4 linked regions of the Cricetulus griseus genome follow. The protein of the gene in region 4 interacts with the protein of the main gene of each other region in a pairwise test. Links are inferred from orthologs where the notes say so. Each region holds a gene or a part of one and is shown on either strand. Other genes may lie near its edges. The genes, in order: CUNH8orf33, Taf1d, Hmox2 and Hap1.

The links.
Region 1: the proteins of Hap1 (region 4) and CUNH8orf33 interact in a two-hybrid assay, tested with the Homo sapiens proteins (2 studies listed by BioGRID and IntAct). The link is inferred for Cricetulus griseus from reciprocal best matches to the Homo sapiens genes HAP1 and C8orf33.
Region 2: the proteins of Hap1 (region 4) and Taf1d interact in a two-hybrid assay, tested with the Homo sapiens proteins (2 studies listed by BioGRID and IntAct). The link is inferred for Cricetulus griseus from reciprocal best matches to the Homo sapiens genes HAP1 and TAF1D.
Region 3: the proteins of Hap1 (region 4) and Hmox2 interact in a two-hybrid assay, tested with the Homo sapiens proteins (2 studies listed by BioGRID and IntAct). The link is inferred for Cricetulus griseus from reciprocal best matches to the Homo sapiens genes HAP1 and HMOX2.

What each region holds. Positions count from the first base shown.
Region 1 is NC_048595.1:374,229,172-374,233,380, reverse strand, and holds CUNH8orf33 (UPF0488 protein C8orf33 homolog), read right to left. Parts: upstream 2,808-4,209; 5' UTR 2,533-2,807; coding exon 2,527-2,532; intron 2,444-2,526; coding exon 2,153-2,443; intron 1,997-2,152; coding exon 1,912-1,996; intron 1,776-1,911; coding exon 1,629-1,775; coding exon of another isoform or gene 1,606-1,628; exon of another isoform or gene 1,583-1,605; intron 1,201-1,582; coding exon 1,061-1,200; 3' UTR 446-1,060; downstream 1-445.
Region 2 is NC_048597.1:128,814,741-128,818,835, reverse strand, and holds the start of Taf1d (TATA box-binding protein-associated factor RNA polymerase I subunit D), read right to left. Parts: upstream 2,806-4,095; 5' UTR 2,516-2,805; intron 1,352-2,515; 5' UTR 1,342-1,351; coding exon 1,271-1,341; intron 870-1,270; coding exon 494-869; intron 1-493. UniProt on the Homo sapiens protein: Component of the transcription factor SL1/TIF-IB complex, which is involved in the assembly of the PIC (preinitiation complex) during RNA polymerase I-dependent transcription.
Region 3 is NC_048600.1:41,928,620-41,932,631, forward strand, and holds the start of Hmox2 (heme oxygenase 2), read right to left. Parts: upstream 2,802-4,012; 5' UTR 2,690-2,801; intron 1-2,689.
Region 4 is NC_048600.1:113,415,087-113,419,183, forward strand, and holds the start of Hap1 (huntingtin-associated protein 1), read right to left. Parts: upstream 2,819-4,097; 5' UTR 2,678-2,818; coding exon 2,125-2,677; intron 1,214-2,124; coding exon 1,137-1,213; intron 798-1,136; coding exon 681-797; intron 568-680; coding exon 386-567; intron 172-385; coding exon 72-171; intron 1-71. UniProt on the Homo sapiens protein: Originally identified as neuronal protein that specifically associates with HTT/huntingtin and the binding is enhanced by an expanded polyglutamine repeat within HTT possibly affecting HAP1 interaction properties.

The sequences.
Region 1 (4,209 bases), on a different chromosome or scaffold from region 4:
TACATAGTGTTGGAAAAAGAGAGAAATCAAGAATGACATAGGTTTCTGGCCTAATAACCAACTAGACAAGGCAGTGAATATCACTGACTAAAAAGGAAAGGGAGACCCAGGGCCTAATTAGGTATTCTGCAACATTCTGAGTTTGAACTGCTCACAGAATATTCATACAGAAAATGTTGAATACAGCTGGACTCCAGATTATATCTAGTCTGGGATTTGACTTTGGGCAACACCAGATTACATTGGTGTGAACACCTGAAAATCTCAACTCAGTATAGCAGAGGGTTCAGTACCCATAAAGAGGCAGTGTGTGGGCTGGCAAAATGGCTTAGTGAGTAAAGGCAACTGCCACCAAATCTAGAGGCTGAGATTAATCCTTGAGAGGTTAAACCTCTGACCTACACACATGTGCCTAGCATGCTCATACACACACATACACACTCACACAAATAAATAAAGGTTTTTTTTTAAAAAAAGACACAAGTCTGCTAAAACACAGTTCAAGTTAAAGCATGCAGCTCAAGAACAAATGATGGCCTGATGGAGGCCACACTGGCTCTCTGAAGATGACAACCTCCTCAGAAAAAGAGACAACATGGACAAAGACCTAAACCCTGACATCAGAGCTGTACCAAGTAAAGGCAGTCCCTGCCCCACCTAACTCCATCCACCATAGACATCACAAGCTTCCATTCATCACCTATTTTTTTAAAAAAATAAAAACATATTTATTAGGTTGATCCTTTCAAAAGTACACAGATTCTTCAGTTCCTTACCACCAACAGTTATTCCCAGAGACTGGAGCACAATTCCTGCAATCCACTCAACACTCAGGCTTAGCACAGAGGAGTTCCCAAAGCACCTCTCTTCTGACAGGAGGAACATTTCCTTGAGAAGTTCAAGGACAGTCTCACCCGGGGCAGCAGTTTCATGTCCACAAACCAATTAGAGACAAAGCAATCCTACTTCTGCCAAAAGAGTTCATAGAAAGACCCCTATATTCAAGACAAATGGTCACACCACCCTGGAGGAGGATGACTAGTCCAGAATGTAGGAGAATCTAAAAGAAATTGAACCGAAATTCTTCATCAGGAAAGTCCACAGTGGCCTTGGTTCTTCCTGTTGGACGAGGCCTACAGACCCTTCCACTCTTCTTTCTGGCAGTCTCTCCTACAAGCTGTACTCGGGCTGAATGGGTAGCTGTAGGAAGGTGGAGCGAAGAGTCAGAACTGAGTAACAGTTAACAATATCCATGCAGTTATGATTGCCCCCACAATGTTCCTATAATGATGATATTGTCATTCCCTGATGAGATTCAGAGACCCAGTAACTAGCTAAACTGTTAAGATCTAAATAACAGATCCAGGATTTGAACCCATGGTACCTGGCTTTGTGGTCAGTGGAGTGAACCAAGGCCTAGACAGGTGAGCTGGGTTTTCCCACCCCAAAAACAGAACAAGGTGAGGACCAGGGTTCTCCTGATTCCAGGAGCCCAGAAAGGTATATACATTCTTCCTGCTTAGGGTTTTCCCTGTGCCCATTTCCTCCAGCACCAACCTTGCTGAGCTGAGCTTCTCCCTACCTCTTTGAAGTACATAAACTGAATCAATCACTTCCCGGTTCCTCACCAGTCCTTAGAGCCCTCAGGGCTTCCTGCCATTCGGCATCCATTTGAGCCCTGTAGTCCCCAAACAAGGATCGCATCAGCTGTCTCTTCCGGGGCAGGGGGGTTTTTTCACTGCGCAAGGTTCGGATTGCCCCAACAGCCTGCTCTTCTGCAGATAAAAATAAGGAGCTGGTAACTTCATACATACTCCCTACAAAAGCAACAATTCCATCCCCTGGCAATACCATCAGGCTACAGCACTATCACCATTTACATTTCCCTAACTATAAAGAAGGGGCTCTCACTCTGCTTCGGGGTGGGTTTCTGCGTCTTGAGTCCCAGCTCTAGCTGTTCCACACACCAGGCCAGCTCCCTCGCCAGTTGCTCCGCCTGGGGTGGAAAGAAGGTCATGGCTGTCATAGGCATCAGGACTCGGCAGACCCCAGCCAGTCCCATCCCTTCAGTGCCTTAATTCCGCACAACTAGACCACACTCTCAGGAGGACTAGCTAGCACCCAGAAAGCTCACAGGGAATCCCACCCTTACCTGGGCTTCAGCACTGGGGGGAGCTTCGTCTAGGACAGGTTTCTCGGAGATCTTTCCGTCTCCATTTGTCCCAGAGACCCTGTTCGGGATTTTCTTCTTCTTTTGCTTCATCGACACAGTGTTGCCTGTGGGATGTGCTCTGGTGGCAGAGTCACAAGCAGGTTGCACTAAACTGACAAGGGGCGGATCTGCGGCACCGCAAGCAGGACGGGGGAGCCGAGGTCTGCGCGCAGCGCGTTGAGTTCTCCGGCTTGAGGCTGCTGGTGCCTCCCGAGCAGGACGCCCTAACGCCTGAAAAACGTGGAACAGGAGGAAATTCACAGGGGCCCCACACCCAGGGCCTCGCCACGCAAACGCCTTCTTCCAAAGCTCACCGCCATGCGCCGTAGCGGTGACCGGAAGTCCTGACTAAAACAGTGAACTCAGTCCTCCGGAAATGCGTCTATGGCCCGGAGTTCCGCAGAAGGCGCCGCGGACCCTGCAGGCGGAGTAGCAGGGGCAAGCGCTCCGGGAGGGGCGGGGAGCACTCCGTGGATCTGGGCCTGCAACTCTGAGAGGATCCGGACAGAAAGAGCGCAGGAACAAACGTGGAGGCTTCGGAGAACCCAGCAGAGTGCATCGCTGAGAAACCAGACGAATGCGCGGCGAGATAGGGATGGAACAACCCTCCCTCCCCGCGGGGCGGGGCAGAAAGCCCAGAGGTGGGGCGGGGCGCACGCGCGCGTGGGTGTACACACATACACACAAAACATAAGTACTAAAAAATAGACATTAAAGGGGGAGGGGCTGGAGTGTTGGCTCAGTGGTTAAAAGCACTTCTTGTTACATAGGACCTGGGTTCCATTCCCAGCACCCACATGGAGGCTTACTACCTCCAAGGGCACCAGGCCCGAATGTGATGCGCTGACGTACATGCACGCAAAACAGTCATATACATAAAATAATAAAAATAAATCCAATAAAACAAAGAAGCTTTGTGTGCAGACTGATTTACAGTACTACAGTAATATGGAGATACTGGAATGCTGAAGGTCTAGTGGCTAATCACCTTATCTTGGACTACTTCTAGAACAGCTACTCCTTGCCCATCTCTGTCAGAACTAACATCTTGCTGTGAATAATAGATAAAAGACCTTTTAGAATCTGTTTACTTAGCAGACCACTAACTTCCACTAACCCCAAAGCTTCAGTAACATCTTGGGCCTATAGAAATGTTTCCCCATCTCATTGTAACTTTCTGGTGTATCCACCAGTGTAAATTTGCCTTGATTTATGACTTTCATTGTTCTGTAAAACTAAAGCCTTGTGAAACCTGTTTCCACCTTAGAACATGGATTTTAGGACAACCTAAACCTGTGTTCCTGGGCCATGGTCACTCAAAATGGCTCCAGAACAAACCTTGTCTTAGTCCCTTTTAGCACTGTGAGCTTATCTTCTACAAGTACCAAATTATTGGTACATTTCTTTTCAAATCTTGAGGAACACCCCATAATTACTGTTGTATGGTATTTTCCTCAGAATCCCTGACGGGATGGAATGAGGAAGTTTGTGAGGTTCTGGAGGAAAACAAAAGGTCTGTGAAAACAGAAAGGTCCTTGCCAGCTGTATAAAAAGGAGTGACAACCCCATGTGAAGAGGGTTCTCAGTCTTTGAAACTGCCTACAGGCTATCCAGAGAGCTCCAGGGCTTCACTTCCCCCAGTAGGATTTTCCAATGGCGCAGTAGTTTTTGAGTCATCCCTGCTCCTTGTAAGTAACCCTTCACTCATACTCCTGTTAGTAACCCCAACAAAAACTCATTAGTTCACCAAGTTGGTGCAGTCGTAACTTCGGTCTGTCATGGATTCCCTTTCTGGGGTGAGTAGCTCTTTGTGTGTGTGTAGAACTGAGGTCATTCTCAGGTATCATTCCTCAGAAGGGATCCACTTCGTTTATGTTTTAATATATAACTATGTCTTAGTTAGGGTTTTTTATTGCTGTGAAGAGACACCATGACCATGGCAACTCTTATAAAGAAAACATTTAATTGAGGTAGCTCGCTTACAGTTCCAGAGGTTC
Region 2 (4,095 bases), on a different chromosome or scaffold from region 4:
AGTTCGAGGCCACCCTGGTCTCCAAAGGAGTGCCAGGATAGGCTCCAAAGCTACACAGAAAACCCTGTATCGAAACACCCCCCCAAAAAAGTAAATGACATAAAAAATAAAAAGAACGAAATAACATCTGCTTACTTTGAAATGACTGGTTTGATGGGCTACTTAATTTAAAGTTGGGTAAGATATGCTTGAGAGTAGTTTAGAGACTAAGATGAGGGTATTTTGTACATTTACAGACTTGGACCATTATTCTCTAAGTTTGTATACACACTAAAAACAGTGCACTCAGAAACACTGGAACCTGAGCAGACTTTACACAGAACACATTGTTTATTGTCAAAGTAACAAAATGTGTCCCAGGTGGACCTCAAATTAAAAATGGCCAACAACACCCAAACCCAGAGAAACTATGTCTGGAAAAACCAGGAAGAAAAGATGGGGGCAACAATCATTCCAATTTCCTAGTGTATTCACTTACATGAGAATGACTCACCTCATATGTTAAAATTTTCTTCCAAGGTAAGGGTTTTCTTCCATTTTCAGATTCTAAGAATGGAAACACAGCTCCTTTGTTTTTAATTTGCTTCACACCTATCTGTGACCTTCTAGGGTTTCTAGCATTTTTTATTCCAGGTGGTCTTCCTCTTGGTCTTAATTTTGGCTTGTATTTCCTTTTTTTCCGTTTCTTTTTCTTAAATCTTTCAAAAATAGCCTTTAAAGTCAAAAGCCTTGGTTCTATAGAGGAGTCACTTGATGTGTCAGTGTCAACATTTGCAGGTAAAGTGACACGTTTTGTCGTAGGGTTTCTTTGCTTTCGTGTAGGTGAAAGAACGTACTGTGTTTTAAATAAGCTATCAGATGAGTCATCGCTAAAAAAATAAAATAAAATAAACTGCATCACTGAGTCGTTACTAGAAACAATCCAATTCACGAGTGGCAAGGCTGTACCCTCAGGCAGCATGGTCATTAGTAACTCAAGTTTCATGGAGTTCAACACCCTCTTCTGAACACATGATACTGACTGTAGGCAAAGCACTCACTCATAAGTCACATAAGAGAAGACATTAAAAATTTAAGTGTACATTTCTTCCAAAGCCAGCTCCCCCAAAATCATACCCAACATTTTCAAATGGGTGTGGTGATAAGCCTTTAATTCCAGCTCTTGGGAGAAATAGGCAGGATCATCTTTGAATGAGGCCACCTACTGAGACCTGTCAATCTGAACAGTTAGACTCAACTCTAGGGTGTTTAGTCACAAAAGCTGCCTTACCTTTGATGTCCAATGTCTGCAGCTCTATCAGGTGTCATGCAGTCAACAGAAGTCACTTCTGATTGAGCCATTACTCGATCTCTGCAATTACAATTTCAGTGTGATGCACCTAGCATTCTAATGAAAAGTTCAACATACACCATACCACCATGTGACTTTAGGTAAAATCGACCTAAGGATAGTCCACTTTAGATCTTTAAAAACATCCAAGTGAGCCAGCTGTTGGTGGTGCACGCCTTTAATCCCAGCCATTTGGGAGGCAGAGGCAGGCAGACCTGTGAGTTCCAGGTTAGTTTCAGGACAGGCTCTAATTCAATATAGAAAAACCTTGTCTTAAAAAAAAAAATATCCACGTGAGGAGCACAGCAGTTAAAGTGTAACCTTCCACAGTTCAGTTCCCAGCACTCACATTGGGTAGCTCACAACTTCAACATGGCATGTTTCTGGCTTCCTGGATACCCACACATTCAATTCTAATCTACAAGTGAAAGCAAAGGAGAGACCACTTTCCAAATCAGTGTTTTCTAATTCTACTTAACAAAAGTACCTGAGTGGCTTTACTACCAGCCAGCCACACAGTGAAACAGCATTAATTCGGATGTTTACCCTAGGAAGGCTGAATTTTTAGCCACTCAGTGTGTATGCCTCAATTTCCCGAATGGCCAATGGGCCTGTAATCCCAACAATAGAACCTCTAGGGTGAGTCAGCTGAAGAGATGGCTTAGCTTTAAGAATACTGACTGCTCTTGAGTGGACAGATTAAATTCCCAGCACCCACAAGGCAGCTTTAAAGGGGCCGCAACTGGCCAGGTGGTGGTGCGCGCCTTTAACCCCAGGAGGTAGAGGCAGGCGGGGCCTCGAACTCAAGATCCGCCTTCCTCCTGAGTGCTGTAATTAAAGAAATGCACCACCACCTCCCGGGTTATTAACTTTTTTCCTTTAAAAGGGGACTTATTTTACGGATAGTGCATTGGTTTCACCCATACCAGAAATAGGAACCAGAGCCCATTACAAATGGTTGTGAACTACCACGTGGCTGCTAGGAATTGAACCCACGTCCCCTGATAGAGCAGCTGGTGCTCTTAGCTGTAGAGCCATTTCTCCATTCCCCATTGTTTTTTAGTATTAGCCCATCAAAATTGCAACGTAACATACTTGGCCCGTTTGCACCAACGATAGAGCGGAGAAAATTCTAAGGGTAATGGCCAAGTACACACGAGGAACCTATCTAGAAATCAGTCCTACCTGTGCGGTCTTCTCGACCTAGGAAGGCAGCACCAGCACAATGCCCCGACGGGACACTCTAAAACCTTCCGGCAGCGACCGATAGCGACCGGGAGCCACGCGTGGCCCGCTGCGCCTCACCCGACAACAGCGCCGACTGCGCGCGGACAGCCGCCCAAAGAGCCCGGGCCCGCGCGCGGTCTCCGAGTCCCGCACCGACCGATCGCGCCAGACCCGAGCGCCCAACGCAAACACACCCGTCTCCCTCCTCCACCGCGACCAAAAGAACGTTCCAGCTCGCAGCAGCCGACTAGGGCAGGCCGAGATCTCGCGTGAGCTCTTAGCGGCGGGTGGGTACGAGAGCGCGGCTACGTGCTAGGCGTGGCTATGTGCGTGGACTGTGGAGTGGGCGGGGCCTCCGCGAGAGGCGGTACCGGGCTCGCCCCTAGGCTTTGAGCTGGCGGAAGGGAGCAGGACGTTGAACTTGGGTAGGTGAAGGGAAGAAGGCATTCCTGCAGGCGTGAAGACACTGCGGGTCAGGTGAGCGTCCGCATGTTGTGGGGCCGAGCCCACTGTGTGCGGAGTTCCCCCTCAGAGGAAGGGTGCCAGGTGCTTTGGGCACCCCACCCTTCAGGAGTTAGCTTCCAGCAGGCATGGGCTTCCTCCTTCAGATCCTGAGTTGACTCAACAGTGTAGGGCTAAACAGTTTTTAGCCCTACAGTACTTTCTTTTCAGTAGTGAGCTGCTTTGAGTTATTTTCCATGCTGCACCTTTGTATTGTATGACAAGCAAGCCAGCAGATCTGCTTGCCCTTAGTCAACAGTTGTTATCATTTATGATTGGACACGCCTTAAAAGTAAGGTCTTGCTGTACTTGCAAGCAGCCAGTGCATTCGCTGTAAGCTCTAAGACAGGCATCTCAGACTGTCACATTCAGGACCAGTGCAAACTTAAATTGCAGGGTCCTGTTCAAAACGAAAGTGACAAATAGCTGAGAACTGTGGCAAATCGCAGAACTGGAGAGTCTGAAGGAGGATTGCCAGGCCAGCCTAGACTATGTTTTCCCCATAAGTAAGGAAAATTTAGAATTATTAATACAAGTTTTACCATCTTTATGTTGTGTACTGCCAGGCGGTGGTGACTCATGCCCTTAATCCCAGCACTGGGTGTAAGGATCAGGCATTATGCTGGCCTGCCTCTTCCTAATAAAACTTCATTTAAGCTGTCTGCCTGGAATGTTTGTCCCTTGGCCTCGGTCAACCTCGCCCGCCATGAAACCTGCCAAGGTTCACCTCACTCTTTATCCTAACACTCTGGAGGCAGAGGCAGGCGAATCTCTGTGAGTTGGAGGCCAGCACAAGCTACACAGAGAAACCCTGTCTCAAAAAACCAAAAATAAAAAAATAAAAAAACCTTAATGAGCTTCTAGGCCTTTAATCCCAGCACTTGGGAGGCAGAGGCAGGCAGATATCAATGAGTCAAGGCCAATCTGGTCTACAGAGTGAGTTCCAGGAAACTGTCTTGAAAAAAGAAAAGAACTTAATGAGCAGAATTGTTGTGGGGCGTTCACCAGAGAAGAGTGTTCAGACATAGGTTAAAAGC
Region 3 (4,012 bases), about 71 Mb from region 4:
CCTGGGGCCCACCATGTAAGTGTAAAGAGAGAACCAACTCCCATACGGTATCCTCCTTCCCTCTCAAATTTTAAGACTTCAACAGAATAACTAATTAAAAAAAAAAATCTCTTTCAGGGTCTGGAGAGATGGCTCAGCAGTTAAGAGCACTGGCCACTCTTCCAGAGGTCCTGAGTTTAATTCCCAGCATGCACATGGTGGCTCACAACCATCTATAATGGGATCTGATGGCCTCTTCTGACATTAAGGTGTACTTGTAGATAGAGCACTCATACATAACATAAATACATCTTTTTAAAAAAATCTCTTGGGCCGGGCGTTGGTGGCGCTCGCCTTTAATCCCAGCACCCGGGAGGCAGAGGCAGGTGGATCTCTGTGAGTTGGAGGCCATCCTGGTCTCCAGAGCGAGTGCCAGGATAGGCTCCAAAGCTACACAGAGAAACCCTGTCTTGAAAAAAACAAAAAAACAACAACAACAAAAAATCTCTTGGGCAGCAAGACTGTTCATCTCATAAATGTGCAAGCTTAACCACCTGATCTGAGCTTTACTGCTAGAACTCACAGTGGAAGAAGAATCAACTTCTACAAGCCGGAAAATATGAAAGCTCTCATGAACACTCATAATTTTTTAACAAGTAAGAAAATCTCTCTGTCTCTTTGACTCTGGTGACTCAACAGCATCTCAACTGACTGCCCTGAGCAAAGAAAAAAGGAACTCAAGTCTAAATATGGAGGAACCACAGGATTTCCTCTTCATGTCCCCAGCAGTATCAGGTCATTCACCGAGCATGCAATTTTCCAAGGCTCACAGATTGTCACACCCTAATCAGTGTTTTAGCTGAGGCACTGTGTTAGACAATGTTTACCAATTTTATCAAGTGAACTGATTAAATGTCCTACTGAACTGGCAACTCCTAGCAAGCAAAGATTACATTTTGTGATGATTCTGGAGAAAAAAAAAAAGTTCTGAATAAACACTTTTCACTCCTCAAAGAAACTAAAAGCATTAATAATCCTGCAATCAAAACATACAGTTAGCTCCCAGCATGATGGTATACACATTTAATCACAGCACTGGGGAAGCAGAGGCAATAGATCTCTGTGAGTTGAAGCCTGCCTACACAGCCAGTTTAAGGACAGTAAGGGCTAAATAATTTTAACAGAGACCCTGTCCCAAAGGAAAAAGATGGTTAAGGCTGGGGCACTTAGGAGATGGAGGCAGAAGGGTATCACATTCAGCCATCCCAGACATAGCAAGGATCCCTTTTCTCAAATACAAAGCACTAGGCAGGGCTGAGGGTTCAGTGATTAAATATGTGCTCATGATGTTCAACCTCCACCATCAAAAAATGTTTGTATTAGTAATAATTATTATTCATTATATATGATAAAGTTTATAATAATTATTATAAATAGCACCACACCAGAAATAGAAAAGCACAAAACCTGTGATAGGCTTATTTCCTTCTACATGACTGAACTGCTTAAGGCCAGTATGACCACTTAAACAACCATTTCTTTTTTTCTTTTCTTTCTTTTTTTTTTTTTTTTTTTTTTCCGAGACAGGGTTTCTCTGTGTAGCTTTGGAGCCTATCCTGGCACTTGCTCTGGAAACCAGGCTGGCCTCACAGAGATATGTCTGCCTCTGCCTCCCGAGTGCTGGGATTAAAGGCGTGCGCCACCAACGCCCAGCCTTTAAACAACCATTTCTAATCTCCAATGTCTAATCTGAAAGAACACAGGGCGTCCAGGCAGGCCACTAGAATTAAGAGATCATCCGTGCCATTACCTTGCCAGTGGGATGTTAGTCGATTTACTTCACCGGTCTCTAAATGATCTCATTTTAAAGGTGGGAAAACATAAGGGCTGAGAAAGGGTTGAAGGACAGGAGGTCTCCCTCAACTGGACAGCATTATATGGTGTTTATGTCCCTGGGTCACACTCCCTCTTGTTGAGTTTGTGGCGCCAGCAATAGAAAACAGTAAGGATCAACAGCAACTAGTCACAACAACCGGTCCTTCAAAACCAATTTAAATGGCATGACACAGACAGCCCTTGTGCAAACACTGTGTAAGGCGGTCCTGGCAGTTTTTACAGGGCAATTAAGTCACCTAGAGCCCTGTGCTTTGGAGGTGACAGGTGACCTCCCCGTCCAGACCAACTGGCTGCATCTAAGGCTGAGTCCTCCCAGTCTTGCATTCTGCACCAGAGATCGATCACTCATGAAATCCCCACAGTGATTCTAAAGGATCTTCCTAACAAGGGGAGTCACTGGAGAGCGGGCCAAGAAGGCCGCCACGCCCGGGGCTCCTCCGGGACCTCAGGTGGGCTCCAGGGCTGCACTATCTTCGACCCCGGAGTCACCTCCTCAAGAGCATTCGGGACGCTGGGAGGGGCTGGGTCCCACGGGGACACCAGACGACGCTTGGGTGCGGAGGTCAAAAGTCTTCTAGGGCGCGGCACATGCAGTTTCGGGCTCACCTGACGCTCGAGGCCCGCTCGGTGCCCCCTCCCCGACCCCCGTCTCCCGATCGCCGGCCTCAGCCCGCTTCCGGCCGCCCCCTCGTCCGGATGTCCCCTCAGGCTGGCGGCCGAGTCGCGGAGGGCCAGCCGAGCAGAGCTCTGGAGGAAGGCTTCTGGCAAGCGAGGACCCGGGCGGGCAAGGCCGGGAACGGTGCGGACCACTCACCCTCTGCCGCTTGGCAGGTCCGTCAGTCTCTGCGTCAGGGACTCCCTCAGCGCCGCGTTAGCCGAGCGGGCTAGCGCGAGGACGGCGGGACGTGCGCACGCAGAGGGGGGCGGGGACTGACAGGCCACGCCCCCAGCGCGCCGCAGCTAGCTGGAGGCGAGTGGCTCTGCGGATACTGCCTGCCACGCAGAATCAATCGGCAGAGGTAGTATTCAGGAGAGGAAGTGTGTCAACCAAAACCTACTGTTAGTTGGTTGAGAGTGGTGGCTCAAGCCTGGAATCCCAGGACTCGGCGCGGGGAGGGAGGCAGGAGGATTGCCCTGAGTTTAAGCTTAAACTCAGAGAGTTTGTCAATAAATAACAAAAAACAAAACAAACAAAAAAAAGATGGGGGATTGGGGGTGTAACTCTGAGAAAGGATTATTGCATTGTAACACCGCAAAAAAAAAATTCAAAACAAACAAACAAACCCAAAAAACAAAGACAGAAAGAAAAGGAAAACTAACGCTCTCTTCTGGCCTCCACCAGCACATGCACATATACCCACACACAAATGCACTTAATCAAAATTTTTATTTTTAATTTTTTTTTAAGATCTTGCTTATACAGTCTGGAAGCTCAAGATTCTCCTATCTCAGCTTGGCAGTGGTGTCTCACGCCTTTAATACCAGCACTCCCGGAGGCAGAGACAGGCAGATCTCTGCCTGGCCTACTGAGTGAGTTCCAGGACAGCCTTCATAAACTACAGAGATCCCCTGTCTTGAAAAAAAACAAAACAAAACAATTCTCCTACCTCACACTACCCTGAGCCAGGACCACAGGTTTGTGTTATCAAGACCAACTAACGATTCCACTTCTGGGTAGCTATTCCTATATACTTGTATATTTTATACACTTTCAAGACCCAGAGAGGCATAAATAGAAAAACCACTGCATGACATTAAAAGATACTCCAGTTAAATAAGAATTATAGGAGAATGTTAAGTTGGAATGAGCACACACCTTTAATCCCAGCATCCAGAAGCTAGGTGGTGTTGGTTCACTTTAATCCTAGGACTCAGGATTAAGAGGTAGATGGATCTATGTGAGTCCAAGGCCACCCAGATATACACAAGATTAATCCAGTCCTAAAGAGAAACAGTTCACACAAAGGTGATCTAAGCAGCTGGGATCACACACCTTTAATCCCAGCATTAGGGAAGTATATAAGACAGGAGCAAGGTCTTAGTATCAGGCATCCATTCTCCAGCCACAATGAGGATAGACAGCAGGATCAGCCCATTCAGCCTGAGGTAGTGGTAAGAGCTAGTGGCCCGCTGCTAC
Region 4 (4,097 bases):
GGAAGGGAAAGAGGAAGGGGCAAGGCTGTCACCGTTCTCAGCCAAAGGCATGCCCTCCACCCTGTCCTCACCTCCTCTCGAAGGTGGTCATTCTCTTCCTCCAAGAGCCTCAGCTTCTGCTGCAGGGCTTCCAGCTGTGGGCAGCTGTGCTCTGTCTCCACCTTAGGGGGCCTGGTAACAGGGCAATGAAAGTCAGCATGCAGGGAGGGGCAGGGATGATGGCGGATCCCAGTCCCCAAGGCTTCCCCATACTGGATAAGGGTGGCCGTGGCATGCAAGGCCCAACAGCGCTCCTGGCAGGCTCACTGTCTATGCCCCTGTCTACAAATGAGCAACTGAGGCTCCGAGAAAAGGGATGGTCCAGGCACAAAGGCAGAACACATACGGCTTGGGGGCACCGTAAGGATGATCATGCTGCTGATCTTGATCCCACTGTCCTTCGTGTTCCTCCCCTTCCTCCTCCTCCTCCTCTTCTTCCTCTTCATCCTCCTCATCATCCTCATCGGAGTCCGAGTAGAGCTGAAGGAGGTCATCTCGCAGGTTTACCTGCTTCCGGAGATGTAAGATCTAGGGGAGGAGAGAGAAGCCACTGGAGGGTGAGGATGAAGGCACAGGACAGGTGCTAGTTTGGGGGAGAGAACACACTGACCCCTCCCCTTCTCCCTTAGGTACCCAGATACCTCCTCCCTGGCTGAGCCCAACATGGTTTCCAGCTTGTTATTCTCCTCCATCAAAACACTGTTCTGTTTCACCAGGGACTGGCCAATGCGAGCGGCTGTGTTCAGGTCCCGTTCTTTCTGCAAAAGGAGAGCCACCCGTTCATACATTCCCACTTTCTGGGACCTCCCAAACAGGAGCAGAAACTAGGGCTAGGCTACAAGAAGAAAGCCTCTGCAACACCTGGTTTTCCAGGTGCTAGATCAGACACTGTTAACCACCCCTAGGGTCTAACTCAGTTTCCCATTATGGGGGGCGGGGAATAAGATCAGCCCAGACTGGCCCCCTGAAAGCCACTTGGCCTTCCAGGAGAGGGGCCCTCAAGCTGGCCCCCAGGCAAATAGAAAAACAGACAAAATCCCTAAGTCCTGCAGGCAGTTAAAACGATGGCTGGCCTGGATGAGGAAGACAGTACCCACCTCTTCCAGCAAATACAGCATCACTTTGATATCATCTTCGGTGATCTTCTTTGTGGGAGGTGGGTTAGGACACAGTGCTGCAGGAGGAAAGGCCCGAGTGAGTCAGGGAAAGGAGCCAGCCGAGGCTGCTCAGAGCCCACAGTGTCCCTCACACCAAAGGTCATGGAGCCAGGAGACTGCAATCATCCAGCCCTACCACCCTCTCTCCACAGCTCCTGCTTCCTCAGGAGGGGCCTGACTGCTCTAAGAGCAAAACCATCCTCCCGGCTCAGGAACTGGACTCCGAGGACCCCTGGGTCCTTGGTCCGTAGAGATATAAAGTCAGGGGAAATAACAGCTGCAGACCCAATCCGCCTGACCCAATCCGCAGCGAAGCCAGCTCACTGGAGCCTCCTCGGTCATAAAAACAGATGCAGTCACCCATCTTACACCTGTTGCGTGTGACAAGACAGCCAAGGAAGCTTCTTCGGCACCCAGAAGCCCTGAATCTAAAACTGCCCCCTCACTCCCCCCCCCCACTCAGAAGAGGAGGGACAGAAACCCTGTGCCCCGCCCACTCCTCCCGCCTCAGCCCTGCTCCAGGAAAGCACTACCCAGAGCCCTGCAGCCAAGTAGTGGTCAAAAGCTCCCCCTCCAGCCACCCACGCAGGCTGATCCCACGGGCTAGCGCAGGCTCAGAGAGCCACCAGCAGCTCCTCTGGCAGCCCCCGCCCCTCTGCTGGCACTGCGGTAGACGGGGAGGGGGCACTGAGAGTGCGCAGATCTGCACAGCAACAGGCGCGAAGAGGGGGCGGGGAGCGCGCAAGCCCTGGACCTGACGCACCCGCAAAAATCGTGGAACCCGAAAGAGAGGAAAAGATGGAGAGGGAGACTAAACGGGCACCGCGGACAGCGATCTCGCGGGGGCGGGGCGCCTGAGTCGGTGGGCCCCTCCTCTCCGGAGATGCCCTAGTAGCAGCCAGTGCGGGATCCCATAGACTCAGTTTACCTTCCTGCAGCTCTCGAATAAACGCCGCGCGCTCAGGGCCGGACACGCAGGGCCTCCTGCCGATGTACGCGGCTGGCGTCTTCCAGATCCCCTCGGCCTTCCCAGAGCCCAGGCCACTGGCCCGGGGACCATAAGGCCCCTGGAATACGTAGCGGGTCCATGGGGCGTCCGAATTGCCGACGATCATGGACCGACAAAAGCTTCCCGTCTTGACTCGGGATCCCGGAGCTCGCTGTCCGGACCCGGTTCCCTGCGCCGGAGCAGCTTTGGGCTCCGCCGAGGGCTCTGGGGTCGGACTGGCCGCAGGCTGGGTCGCGGGGGTGCCCGCTGCTGAGTCCCCGGACCCCGTCCCTTCCCCCGCACTGTTTTGCACCTGTTCCTTCGGGCGCATCTTGACTCCGCAGTGGGCTGCCGCAGCCGAGCCTTTATAACCTGTGCCGGAGCGGGCTCCACTGGGCTGTACCACGCGTGTTGCTGGGGGTGACCGAAGATCAAGTGGCGGTACTGAGGACTCAGGATCGTGACAGAGAGAGCGGCAATGGTGATGGGACATGAAACAACATATTTAAAAGAGGAAAGAAAGAGACGAACGAGTTCCCAGTTGGCTCTGCGGGATCGGGTTCACGGTGAAGATCTCCCGCGCCTCCTCCATTCTCTGAGAATGGTTCTGTCCAAAGCCGTCGCTTCCCTGGACTTGGGCCGAGGGACCCCGAGCTTCTGTCTAGAAGCAGCTCCCCCCTCCCAGCTTCCCCCCCACCCGCGGGTGCTCCCGCCCCTCGGGCTTCCAGCTGCCTTTTCTGTTGTCATACCCAACGTTGAATAGAGGCCAGGGTGACCTGCGAGTCAGGGCAGTACGCCTGGGTCTTCCCAGGTGGATTAAGCGAGAAATGCAAACTCTGGTTTGGCTTTCAACGTGTTGCGTGTCACCCACAGGTCCTCGCGCTCGCACTCCCGCACTCGCCCCTGGACGTCTTCCATCTTAGTGCGTTCGCTCGTTCTTTATTTCCAACCCTGATTCGCAAGGCCTACCGTCCTTGTTCTTCAGAGATTCCAGAATGAGCATCTTCCGAGGAGATCCCGCTTAAATGTTTAGCTGTGACCACTCTTCCAGGAGCCCCTTCCCACGCCCCGCGCGCGCCCGCACACCCCTCTCCCCAAAGCATCCGTTATCCCGAGGTCTGAAAGGACCGATGTCGGTCTTCTTAGACCTGTGCCCTTCAGCCCATGGATGGTGTGCTCCCCAGAAAACTGGATACCTGGGAAGGTTCTCTTAAGTCCAGAATGAACTGGGCTTGGGGTGGGAGCTAAGCAGGGCAGTAGCCATTTCTGTGCGTTTAGACTGGGAGACAGGTTAAAAGGAGATGCGTGACTCATTGACTAAGGTCTCAAAATCATTCTTGATGTCATCCATTCTCCTCCACCGCCTTCCAGTTGCAAGCCTACAGACTTTACCTTTTTACAAATATGTATGCATCCTGAGTGCTGTGATTAAAGGTTTGTACCACCACACCCTGCTGATTTTAAATTTTTATTTGTGGTATAAGAATGTGTCCGTGTCTGTGGGTGGAAGACAGTGGTCAACATCAGGTGTTGCCCTCGCTCTCCACCTCATTTTTTGAGACAGGGTCTCTCGCTGAATCTCGAGTGCAGTACTTTGACTAGACTATCTGTACAGTGAGCCCCAGGCATCGGCTTAACTCCACCCCACCCTCAACCCTGGGGTTTATAGACAGGTGCCTTGCTAGGGATCTAAACACAGGCCCTTAAGCTTACACAGCAGTTTGCCCATTGAACCATCTACCCAGTTCCCTAAATATTGGCTTGTTTTGTGTGTATGTGTGTTTTGCCTACCTGTTCCTTCTGTGCACCACTTGCACTCCTATTGTCCACAGAGGCCACAATAGGTCATCAGATCCCCTGGAGCTGGAATTACATATGGCTGTGAGCTGGGAAAAGAACCCAGGTCCTCTGGA